Daphnia pulex: one gene and its partners. The protein of the gene in region 3 purifies or fractionates together with the protein of the main gene of each other region. This does not show direct contact. Links are inferred from orthologs where the notes say so. Each region holds a gene or a part of one and is shown on either strand. Other genes may lie near its edges.

Region 1 (3,559 bases), on a different chromosome or scaffold from region 3:
CAATGATCAACTACTGAATGACTATGACAGTCTCAAAACAGTGCCACTTGGGATATCAGACATCATTGGTATGTTACTTGTCATTCAAATTACAGTCCATTTCAGCGTCATAAATCGGTTTTAGCAACCCTGGCATGAAGTCAATTGGTTTTCCAATGTAAAAACTTTGGACGATTGGGTTTGGTATTAGCGAACGTTGTAACAGTGCTTTTTTTTAACAGATGCTTCAGTCTGCAAAGAAGGAGTTGTCGTCAGCTCCAACGAAACATTGTTGGAGTTAAAGGTTCAGAGTCAGAACCGGAATGCACAAGTGGTTATATCAATGCGCCCCGAAGACCCTATGGCAGTTTTGATGCAGAAGTATGCGGAAGCAACCGGGATTGATTTGTCCAAATTGAAGTTTAAATTTGACGGCGAAATGTTGGAAGAAGATGACACACCGTCTAGTCTGGAATTTGAAGGTGGCGAGTGTATCGATGTTTTCATTAGAGAGTAGTTTATTTGTTCACTACATTTTTCTTAACTTTACTACTTTGTATATTTTCCCTTGCGCAAATAAATTATGCACTAATAAACAAAAATTCGAAAGACTTTTGTATTATGACGCACAATGTATTTTCATACCTCGCAAATAAAAATTGGTTAAGATAGAAGGCAGAAAACACAGATGGAAAAATTTGTGGGAGGGTGTAGTGGCTTAAATCCTAATATGTTGATGTTACAAGTCTTCATCATCTTCTGGTAGTGCAATGTGTTGAGCTTCCTCCAATTCACCTTCAATTTGCTTCTGCCAATTAGGATCCATCTGCACCTCAGGTGGCTGCAGAGCAGGCATAGCAACAAACTCTAGGTTAGGGTCTCCAATTAGCTTACGTGCTAGCCAGAGGAAAGGCTTTTCAAAGTTGTAGTTTGACTTGGCACTAATGTCATAGTACTAAATGAAACCAAAATTTAGCAAATTGCATTTACAATTTAGTAGCACAATTAACATACCTGGAGATTCTTCTTTCTGTGAAAGACAATGGATTTGGCCTTGACTTTACGATCTTTAATGTCAACTTTGTTGCCACAAAGAACAATTGGGATGTTTTCACAAACTCGGACCAAATCTCTGTGCCAATTTGGAACATTTTTGTAGGTGACACGAGAGGTTACATCAAACATGATGATAGCACATTGGCCCTGCAAGATAAATGAAAGTCAGTCGAGACCATGTGAATACAAGTATGCTGACATTTACCTGAATGTAATATCCATCTCTGAGACCTCCAAACTTCTCCTGACCAGCAGTGTCCCACACGTTGAATCTGATGGCTCCACGGTTTGTATGGAAAACCAAAGGGTGAACTTCCACACCAAGTGTGGCCACATACTTCTTTTCAAATTCACCAGTCAAGTGACGCTTAACGAAAGTGGTTTTTCCGGTACCACCATCGCCAACCAAGACCAGCTTGAAAGTGGGCATGTCAGGTTCGGCAGCCATTCTGTTGTAAATCCTACAAATAATGAGAAAAGATAAGTGAATCGATCAGACTTGATTGCGTCATTCAACAAGAATTTACTGGAACTTAATCTAACGACAACAAAATATATTTTTCTAAAAATTTACACACTCGTGAACACTTACAAGTTAACTGTCAATGTTTAATGTCAAGAGAAAAAAGGGACTATTTCAAACAACTACCACAGAACAGTTTTACCGCCACTGACTAGCTTAGTGCGTTGTCTTTGATGGAGGAAGATGACTGTTAGAGGTTACAACTTGAAAAATGCAGAATAAAATAACTATGATGACTAAAATACTTTCCATGCCGAATTAAAAAGAGATTGGCAAAAGAAACATTACTGCTTACTTAAAACAACGAAAAGATGAAGGATGTGGACAATATTCGAAGATAAATCTAACTCACCGGCGGTTTTAAGCTTTAGGTTCACAATCGCGCGGTTCTAATACCAAACTGGTCTCTAAAAATTCTGGTAGCGTAAAGGCTGGCTGAAAATGGGTGGCTCTAAAAAATTCCTAGCGAGATGTTGCCAAATTTCACTAGGAGAAACGGCGGGAATATTTTCCTTTTCTTTGAAAAAAAGACGGTTGGAATTTGAAAATGGAAAGTAGGCTGTAGCAGGGCTGTAGCTCTCTATTTCTCTAAAGCCTGTCTAAAGCTTTGAATGTAATTTATTAATGTTGAATTTCATTCAGGCCTATTAACGGGATGATGTTTTTTAATTTTTTAATCAACAATATATTTATTTTGTGTGAGATTAAAATGCTAAATGTGTTAATAAAAAGGATAGTAGCACTTAATTCAAATGAAATTACCTTTTAAAAGAAGAAAGAAATTCCTATAAGCATCACTGTATATAAATTAATTAATAGGACATTAAAAGACGTGGTAGCAGCATGATGAATATTTCTGTCAAAGTTATGATTGCTGTTTTTTTTGTTAGTCATTATTTCATTGTATGTTATAAAATCAACCGTTCGAAGAAAAATAACAACGGAGGCGATCATTCATACAAGCATCTGTATTTATTGATACGATGAATTTCTGGGTTACAAAAAATAATGGCGAGTTTTGTTTTACAAACAAAATATCAATGAACTATTACAAAATAATTTTCGGAAGGTTTCATCACAGTGTATAAAATCTTGGGAGATAAAGCTATGACGAACATTTTGATGCGATACCGGTTCGTTTGTAACTCAACGCGAAACTGACTACTTGAACGAGGATCCAAACAAAAAACGCAAGACAAAGGGGAATATGGGGATAGGGGGTTTCAGTAGTCATCACATTCCACATTGGCGAACTAATCATGCACACATAAAAATAAACTAAAATAATCTGAAATAAACATGGAACTCCAAGTTTTATCATATATAGTTATCAAAGTTAGGAGATTTTTTTATTTTTTGCAGCTTCAATGAACTTTGCCATCAGACTCTTGACAGAAAATGGGTCCTCTTTTTTGGCTCTTGTTTCTTTTTTTGTGCTTAACCTTGATGATGGATTTTTTCCAGAGTGCCCAAAGTGATTACTAGTCCTCTTGTTTTTGCAGTTAACATTCTTTGATGCCTTAAGTTTGTTTGATGTGATGGAAGGCGATGGGGCAATCAGACGAATGGTGGCGAATAAATTACCTTCTTCATCCACGTCTATGTCAACTTTTGACTTTGGTACCGAAGATGTAGAAGGACGACTCAATGGGACTTTTGTAGTAGCTTCTTGTGGTGATTCCAAATGTGAAGGTGCGAAGGGAAGCAGTCGAATCTCGTCGGGATCAATGACACTGGATTCCTCGAATTCAGATTTCACCAACCAAACCGGCGAATTGTGTTGAAGTAATTCAACTTTCACAGGCATAACATGCGGGGCCATTTTTGTTAATTTTCTGGGAGATTGGCTTACATTGGTTTCGATCAATCGTTTTTTTGCTTGAAGAGGTGTTGTTGTTTCGGGAAAATCGGAAAGAAGAAAGGGATTGGCAGTTATTTTCCCAGCGGCTAACGGTGGGTTAAGGACGGGAGCAACGAGAAATGGAGGTGCAATTGGTGCAA
Region 2 (3,306 bases), on a different chromosome or scaffold from region 3:
GAATTCATTTTATTGTCTCTTTTAACTTCATAAAAACATCGCGCTCGATTTCACTACAGCAAGCAGACCACATCGTGCAACGATGTCAGATGTTTAATTTGTAGCGTGCCCGCGCAGAATCGCACGCGAATTCATGAATTCACGATTCACGATTGTACGAATCCACACGAATGGTATTTAAGATAATCAAGAATAGAGTTTCCTCTCATTTAAAAATAAGTAGCCTTAAAAGATTTATATGACGAATTATTAAAGTGCTAATGAAGGGATGGCGAAATATGCTTTATGCGATTTCAACTGCGCTTTTGCTGCTTAAAGATTGAGTGTTGAATTTTTAACGAAGATATCTCAACGCCTTAGCCGATAAAAACTTAAAAGGAGAGCTCTTAATTCGCTTTCTACTCAAAATCCGTCGCACAGGTGCAGAAGCAGAACCAGAATTTCGAGTATGTTTTAAATTTGTAAAATAACTTTGAAAAACTAAACAGAACATTTTAACAAATCAAATTATTCCATACTACACTCACTAGTTTAATTTAAGATTAACAAAAATTATCTATTAGTAATTAGAAGTACCCAAATAGTCTTCAAAAACGTTTTTTTATTGTCCACCTTGAGTTTACAAGTGCGTGAAGTATCAGTTAATTCTAAGCAATTTCTTTTATGACATCCTCTACTTGCTCCTTTGAATACATATGGAAAGGCTGGTCGGGAGTAACGGCTGCAACTTCAACATTGGTTGAGCTCAATTTCTCTTCCATGACTTGCTTCAAGATAGTCAAAGCAGCTTTCATTGCTGATTTAAGAGTCATAGACTAAATATAAAGAAAAACATGGATGATTTTGATTTTTTCCATTGAAATATTTATCTTACTTTGTTATATGCCTCTTGGAGTGACTGCTGAGCACCCTCACTTCCTGATCCAATTGCTTTTGCATCATATTGAACATAGGTTCCTGAGGGATCCATGTGGAACAACTGAGGGCCCTTCTCATCAATCCCAGCAAATAGAATGGCTACACCAAAAGGTCTAAATAATTGCAGTGAAGGTTGTTAATAAGAAAGCAAGCATTTAACAATTTCCCAAATTTTACCTAGACATGGCATTTCCATCATCATCAGAATCTCCAAACTGAATTGCTAAATTAGAAACTGCCTGGGCTACAGATTCAACACTCATCTTTTCATCATATGTAAACCAATGATTTTGGGCTTCAACACGAGCACGATCTACCATTGTTCGTGAATCTGCCATAAGACCACTAACAGCACATCCTAATTTTAACAAAATTGAAAATTCTTATTAAAAATGTAACAATACAAATCAATTCTATACTTGCCAATATGTTTATCAATTTCAACAATTTTTTCAATTGTTGTTGGTTCCATGAGGGGTGAGGTGATTCGTTTTTCAACAGCAAGCACTACTCCTTCTGAAGTCTGAATTCCAATGGCAGTAGAACCTAGTTTGATGGCTTCAATTGCATATTCAACCTACATTTTTCAGACAAAAATTACAACTTGAAGATAGTTTTAATACATTTCTCAGTGCAAATGCCGGGCTACCTGGAAAAGACGACCTTCTGGTGAAAAAGTATTGACACCACGGTCATATTCGGATCTTGTAAGGAACATCCTGATTTTGACGCAAAACTGCAATAGAATTTAAATAAAATAAATGAATGTAATGCAAGATTCAACTTGTCTCCACTGCAAACCAACCTGAGTTATGTTTCGAAAAACGACTTGTCACTTCAGAAACTGGTGGACGGCTGGCGTGCGGCAGTTGTTTTTACATCGAAAAACAGCGAGATCTGTTGAACAATTATTGAAACAAACTTGCGCGCCTTATTTTAAAATCAATGGAATATTTTGTATTAGAAATCTAATCTACTCATCATTTATCTTTTATACAAAATAAAGCGTAGTATAAGGATAGATCACGCTCCTTTCGTGCTATCTACAATGACAATGTTCAGTTGTTACAATTAAGCATCTCGCAACTACTGCTAGTCTGCTACTTTAAAAAGTAATTAAAATGAGGAAAATCAAGTAAAAGAAACTGTTTAAATTTTTGGCAAAATGTATTACTAATTATTTACTAAGGGGTGATAGAAGGAGGAGGTAATTATAAAACAATACGCATAATAATGCGGCGGTGCATTAAAAAAATGCAAACGAAGACCATAAATTGTTTTAGAAATTAAAAATTTTCTGTTCCTTATGAGGAATGTCTACGAGCTGAAGTCGGATGCAGCAAGGCAGCAATAAGTGCACATCTGTAAGCAGTTCAAAAGTCCGAGTAGACAAACACAACAGGAGGATTCTTCAATGTCACAGGACGCACAATATCGCCTTCGGATGACAACGATGATTGCAACAAAAATCATGACAAGAACAATAATACCGATAGGAAGTATTAGTCCGTAGATTATCCATGAGTGATCAGGCCCTTAAAAAAATGTGGAAATGTAATTAATTAATGTCCACATTTTTATCAACGCGATGGGACGTTGCATTAAATTTTTAAAAAGGAAATATACCTGTAATAAAAAAAGAAATTTCTTTCGATACAGTTTTGTTATCGATTTTTGAGTTGCACTTAAATTCTCTGTGAGTAGTTTGGCGGTTAACATTGAGAAGTTCTAGTCGACTTTCGTAAACTCCCAACTCGTCATTAGTTAAGCTGATTTTAATGCCTTTAATTTTATGTTGGATAAAGTAAAAAATGTTAAAATAAAATCTTCACACTGTGAAAAAGTGATCAAGTTTTTTTACCTTCAGATGGGCCCGTCTCATTAATTCGTTTTAGTGTACTCATGTCGAATTTTGACTTGAAAAACCATTCGGGAGGCGAAGCAAATTCGGGATTGGTGTTGGCACGACAAATTAATGTGACATTGTTTCCTTCCCATGGATCAGCAATGTTGTCAACTCTTATCAATTCTATTCCTATTTTCGGGGTTTAATTAGTGAGTTCAAATGAGGGTTAAGGCACATTCCACCGGACTTTAATTATAATACACAAATACCTTCAACGAAAATCTTAAAAAATATCTTCGTGCTGATATTATTGACTGTTCCAATGCACTGGTAGTCACCAGTGTCTTCAAACGTCGCTTGATGAAGTATCAATCCGCGTTTCGATTCCATCAACCAGTTTGAATTGGGTTCAGATAATAAATTCTATTAATGTTGAATAATTATATTAACATAATATTGTCTTGCGAATAAAATTTTAGTTTACTCGAGAGTTGCGGATGAGCGAGACGGTAACATTAGGATGAGTGGACTTGCACGGGACA
Region 3 (3,933 bases):
TACACAATTATATAATCTATTTGTAAACGTCGTATCTACCTATTCATTCGCATGGGATAGATTTCGCTGAAGAAAAATCGCCTACTTAAACGCCAGGAGTCTCGGAACATGAAGCGCCACAAACACCTAACAACGGAGTCATCGCAGATTTTCAGAAAACCACCAACATCAGACCCAGTGTTTTTGAATCGTAGATATAACAGACTTGTTCCTAAAGTGCTACCCAGTGTTCCAAAACTTGATAATGCCACATTGGAGGAGGCATTGGACCAACTCTGCCAACAAATTCAAGAGCAATTTAATTTGAATACCATACAGGTAAAATAAAGAACCAACCAATTCATTGTGTTTATTCAACTGAAACTCCGTTGCTATCTTTTGTCTGACAATCAAATAAAACATGATAACTATGAAAACTTTATCCCCTGTCATACCGGGATATAAAATATTAGGCTAGTTGCACGCAACATGATGGGAATTAATTGTATAGCGTAATTTTCTATTATCCTAACACATTTCTAAATAAACAGCATAAACTAAATTACAATAATAAACAGCTTAAGAGCTGTAACGAACAAACGTCTTAAGAGGTAGCCAAGTGTATTGTTTTTCCTCGATCCGCGCAATCAAAAGTCTTGTAATTGAAAACAAAATAGGAGAAAAAGGGAACGAAACAAATACCAACGCCAAGTTATTTCATTCAGATTAGAAAGACATCCGACCAAATAGGAAAGGTAGTAAATGTGGACATAATCCCCTTGGGCTTTACCATGCAGAGGATATAAGATAGAACTTGGCACTCATCCACATTTCACTTCGATTGCTACGTTTCCTCTACCATCAATCCAGATACTTTCGAGACTCGGAAGTGTTCTCATCGCAGGGTTAAAAGGTATATCAATATACTGGCAACATCGATGTCATCACCTCACGAGATAATCTTAACTAATCGGATGTTTTTTTTCTATTGCTAACGTTTGGAGCATCAAAGAAATACACGGCTACGACAATTTTCAAATGTATGACAAAACCACATTGAAGATCAGACGGCGGATTTTTTCCCCTTCTCTTTACATATACAAATAAGCGGATGATAACATTACGCGCGCTCGTACATGCCCGTGTGCATAGCGCGTGGGGAATATGTAAAGTTAGGAGCGAGGAAATTTTGCGCAATTAACCGTGGTGAATTGCGATTAGAAAAAAAAAACAAAAAAAACGAATTTATTAAAAAATAAGCTTTAGTTTATGCGCCTGTTGAATCTTATGACAAATCTGTAAATAGAAGAAAAAATTCAGTTAGGATAGAAACAATTTAGAAAGAATAAAAGTATATCTTACAAGATGGTGCCGAATTGGCCTCGAAACGCTTCTGTAGCTGGTCCTGAGTAAACTTAACAAATGCGTCGTATTGCTCGGCGAGTTTAAGTGTCAATACTCGATCATACTCCTCGCGAATTTCTGTTTCGCGCTCTTTTAACATTCTTTCACAAATGAGGCTCACCTGTAAAACAACAAGGGAATGTTACAAAATCTCAACTACAAAACACTTGTTTCTTCATCTCTTGAAAATATGTTTGAGGAATTGGAGGACAGAATGCCGTACATGACACATCCTGTTACTATGATACTCTATTTTTAATTTATGGCATGTGCTGGAGGAGGCCAAGCTAGACAACAGCAGAACGCTGAGTCTAGCAAAGACGCATGATACTGGAAACATCAAGCTCAAAGAAAACCAGCACTACCAACATGTAACACTAGAGAATCACAAACTGTTCCTACCTGCTTAAACGTGAACAAAGGTTTCTCTTTAGTTGAGCAGCTTTGACCAAAATTATTGGAGGAAGCCAGGGCCATCAATGGCGAAGGTGATCGAGGGCATGAGGCAGGAGATGCTGGACTGGTAGGGCTCTCACACATCAAACTGTCTTGATGCTGGCTGCTCATGTGCTGAGATTGATTTTGACTGAAATTAAGCTGTTTACGACGTTGAAAGCGTTTAACTTCCTCACGAACATTCGCCAAGATTTGCTCTAAAGTAGAATAACGTTAGTTAGAAATCATTCTGGTAAGACTTGGTTATGAAATCTCACATACCTGGTGTAAGCTTCGAAGAGACATCGCCAAAAGGAGAAGGTTCATGGCACTTTGTTGGTGGAGTTGTTGGAGGCATGCAAATTGGCATACATCTCCTTCGTTTCGGTGTACGACCACCGGGACTGTGCACAGGATCAAATTCCAAACTACGCTTCAAAGTAACACAAGCCATTTTGATTCAACGACTTTCTTTCTTAGGCAAGTTGCTATGCTATGCTTGAAAAGCAACAGAAAATAGTCAGCTGAATTACACAGGATGCGTTAAACGAATGGCTATCAAAAGATGCTAGTTCACAACAGATGCAATTGGAAATCCAATGAACACAAATTCGTCGTAATATATATGATAGACTGATGGATGAAATGGGATAATTCTTCGAAGAAATTTACCCAGCTTCGTCCATTAAGACAACTGCAGCTCTCTTGGTTTTCTATTGGTTACAAAAGTAGCTTTAGCCCTAGGGAGAGTGGTGAACAGCATTGCCAGTTTTATGTAGAGCTTCAATCCCCTAAGGGCAATTCCAGCCACGTCGACGGTCGACATTCGACAACCGAAGCCGATAAAAATTCATTTTTCCAGTTCATTTTATTATTCAGATGACCAAGATCGCAAGTTCACTTCTAAATTTACAAATTAGAACAAGTAAGTAAAATTCTAATGACAATTAATTTTCAGTAGAATATTTGTTGTGAGAAAAAACGTTTGAAGTCCGCGTCCGTAAAAACATAATTTTTGTTTTCTTGTAGGTGCTGTTTTGATAAAAAAGAGAAAATTATACCTGGAATCGAGCTAATAATTAGTTGTGTGATTTATGGCAATTAATTCAAGTGTTGCTATTTTTATTTGACATGTGTTAAAAAAGTGGCGTCGATGTAAACTGTTTGACATGCCAAAAGATCCAGCAGACCGGCATGTCATGTGACAAGTGGTCACCCTTTTTTAGTTAATTTAGTTAAATTCTATCGGTCATGGGGGTTCTTAATGTGCTCTATGTGATTCTTCATTTTATTATCACATATATTCACAACATTCATGTGGCGTTTAGTGAACTCATTGATCGTATCAAACCAGTTGTTAAGGATCGAACTTACCTCTGGCCAGCAGACTGCCATGTTTTGCTGAATGCCACGACTGTGAAATTAGGTGCAAATATAAAAGATGAACGTCTTCTCCTTCAAACTATTGGAAGTGACCTGAAACTACTTCAAAAACTTCCCATTCATGTTGCTTGCTTGTTTACTGAGAAGGATGTAAACATTGATAGAATAATAACTATTGTTGAGTGGTTTGTTAGTATGGGTGTCTATTGCATCAGTCTCTATGATCATGAAGGTATTTATTTATTACCTGTTTAATTAGTACCTTATTTTTCTAGCAAATTTGATTGATTCATAACTGTTAAAATTTTAGGTTGTCTGACTAGCTGTCATGATGAAATCAAAATCAAATTGAAAGGTGTTGCTGCCAATTTTCGCAATGGATTGAAATCCAAATCTGTTGCTGTTCATAAAGGCTTTGTAACAAAAGAATTCTACAATTTGGGTAATTGGATAGTATAGTAGTGAAATTCATTTTTCTAATTATGTTTTTTCTTTAAAGATTCTATCAATGTTTTCATCATGAATCAAAATGATGGCAAACCTATGTTTGCCCAAGTTACAAGGCAAATAGTGGGTGAATTAAATTATTGTCAAATTGATCAGGGTGTAGTGGAAAACACCATGAATCAATTCTACCCCAAAGACCCAGAGTTGATGTTACAGTTTGGCAGCTTACTGTCTAACACTACCCTAGGGTACTCCCCATGGCATCTTAGACTTACTCAGATGATG

What was found. The genes of interacting proteins can lie anywhere in the genome.
Region 1: the proteins of akirin-2-like (region 3) and GTP-binding nuclear protein Ran purify together in Homo sapiens (affinity purification with mass spectrometry; 3 studies listed by BioGRID and IntAct, counting the BioPlex papers as one, with this or other methods). This does not show direct contact. The link is inferred for Daphnia pulex from reciprocal best matches to the Homo sapiens genes AKIRIN2 and RAN.
Region 2: the proteins of akirin-2-like (region 3) and proteasome subunit alpha type-5-like purify together in Homo sapiens (affinity purification with mass spectrometry; 3 studies listed by BioGRID and IntAct, with this or other methods). This does not show direct contact. The link is inferred for Daphnia pulex from reciprocal best matches to the Homo sapiens genes AKIRIN2 and PSMA5.

The regions. Positions count from the first base shown.
Region 1 is NC_060020.1:1,358,580-1,362,138, reverse strand, and holds GTP-binding nuclear protein Ran, read right to left. Parts: upstream 2,064-3,559; 5' UTR 1,911-2,063; exon of another isoform or gene 1,854-1,910; intron 1,726-1,853; exon of another isoform or gene 1,628-1,725; intron 1,497-1,627; 5' UTR 1,484-1,496; coding exon 1,241-1,483; intron 1,183-1,240; coding exon 994-1,182; intron 935-993; coding exon 719-934; 3' UTR 582-718; downstream 1-581. Other genes in the region: NFATC2-interacting protein-like, read left to right, coding at 1-68, 222-496; uncharacterized protein LOC124192239, read right to left, coding at 2,895-3,559. UniProt on the Homo sapiens protein: GTPase involved in nucleocytoplasmic transport, participating both to the import and the export from the nucleus of proteins and RNAs. Switches between a cytoplasmic GDP- and a nuclear GTP-bound state by nucleotide exchange and GTP hydrolysis.
Region 2 is NC_060026.1:13,770,843-13,774,148, reverse strand, and holds proteasome subunit alpha type-5-like, read right to left. Parts: upstream 1,839-3,306; 5' UTR 1,724-1,838; intron 1,655-1,723; 5' UTR 1,637-1,654; coding exon 1,568-1,636; intron 1,496-1,567; coding exon 1,342-1,495; intron 1,277-1,341; coding exon 1,096-1,276; intron 1,032-1,095; coding exon 875-1,031; intron 816-874; coding exon 648-815; 3' UTR 582-647; downstream 1-581. Other genes in the region: tonsoku-like protein, read right to left, coding at 1-8; vascular endothelial growth factor receptor 1-like, read right to left, coding at 2,236-2,453, 2,545-2,700, 2,780-2,953, 3,034-3,187, 3,249-3,306. UniProt on the Homo sapiens protein: Component of the 20S core proteasome complex involved in the proteolytic degradation of most intracellular proteins. This complex plays numerous essential roles within the cell by associating with different regulatory particles.
Region 3 is NC_060027.1:5,353,309-5,357,241, forward strand, and holds akirin-2-like, read right to left. Parts: upstream 2,578-3,933; 5' UTR 2,273-2,577; coding exon 2,101-2,272; intron 2,037-2,100; coding exon 1,786-2,036; intron 1,505-1,785; coding exon 1,342-1,504; intron 1,276-1,341; coding exon 1,265-1,275; 3' UTR 584-1,264; downstream 1-583. Other genes in the region: uncharacterized protein LOC124207045, read left to right, coding at 61-327; dehydrodolichyl diphosphate synthase complex subunit nus1-like, read left to right, coding at 3,070-3,433, 3,512-3,643, 3,701-3,932. UniProt on the Homo sapiens protein: Molecular adapter that acts as a bridge between a variety of multiprotein complexes, and which is involved in embryonic development, immunity, myogenesis and brain development.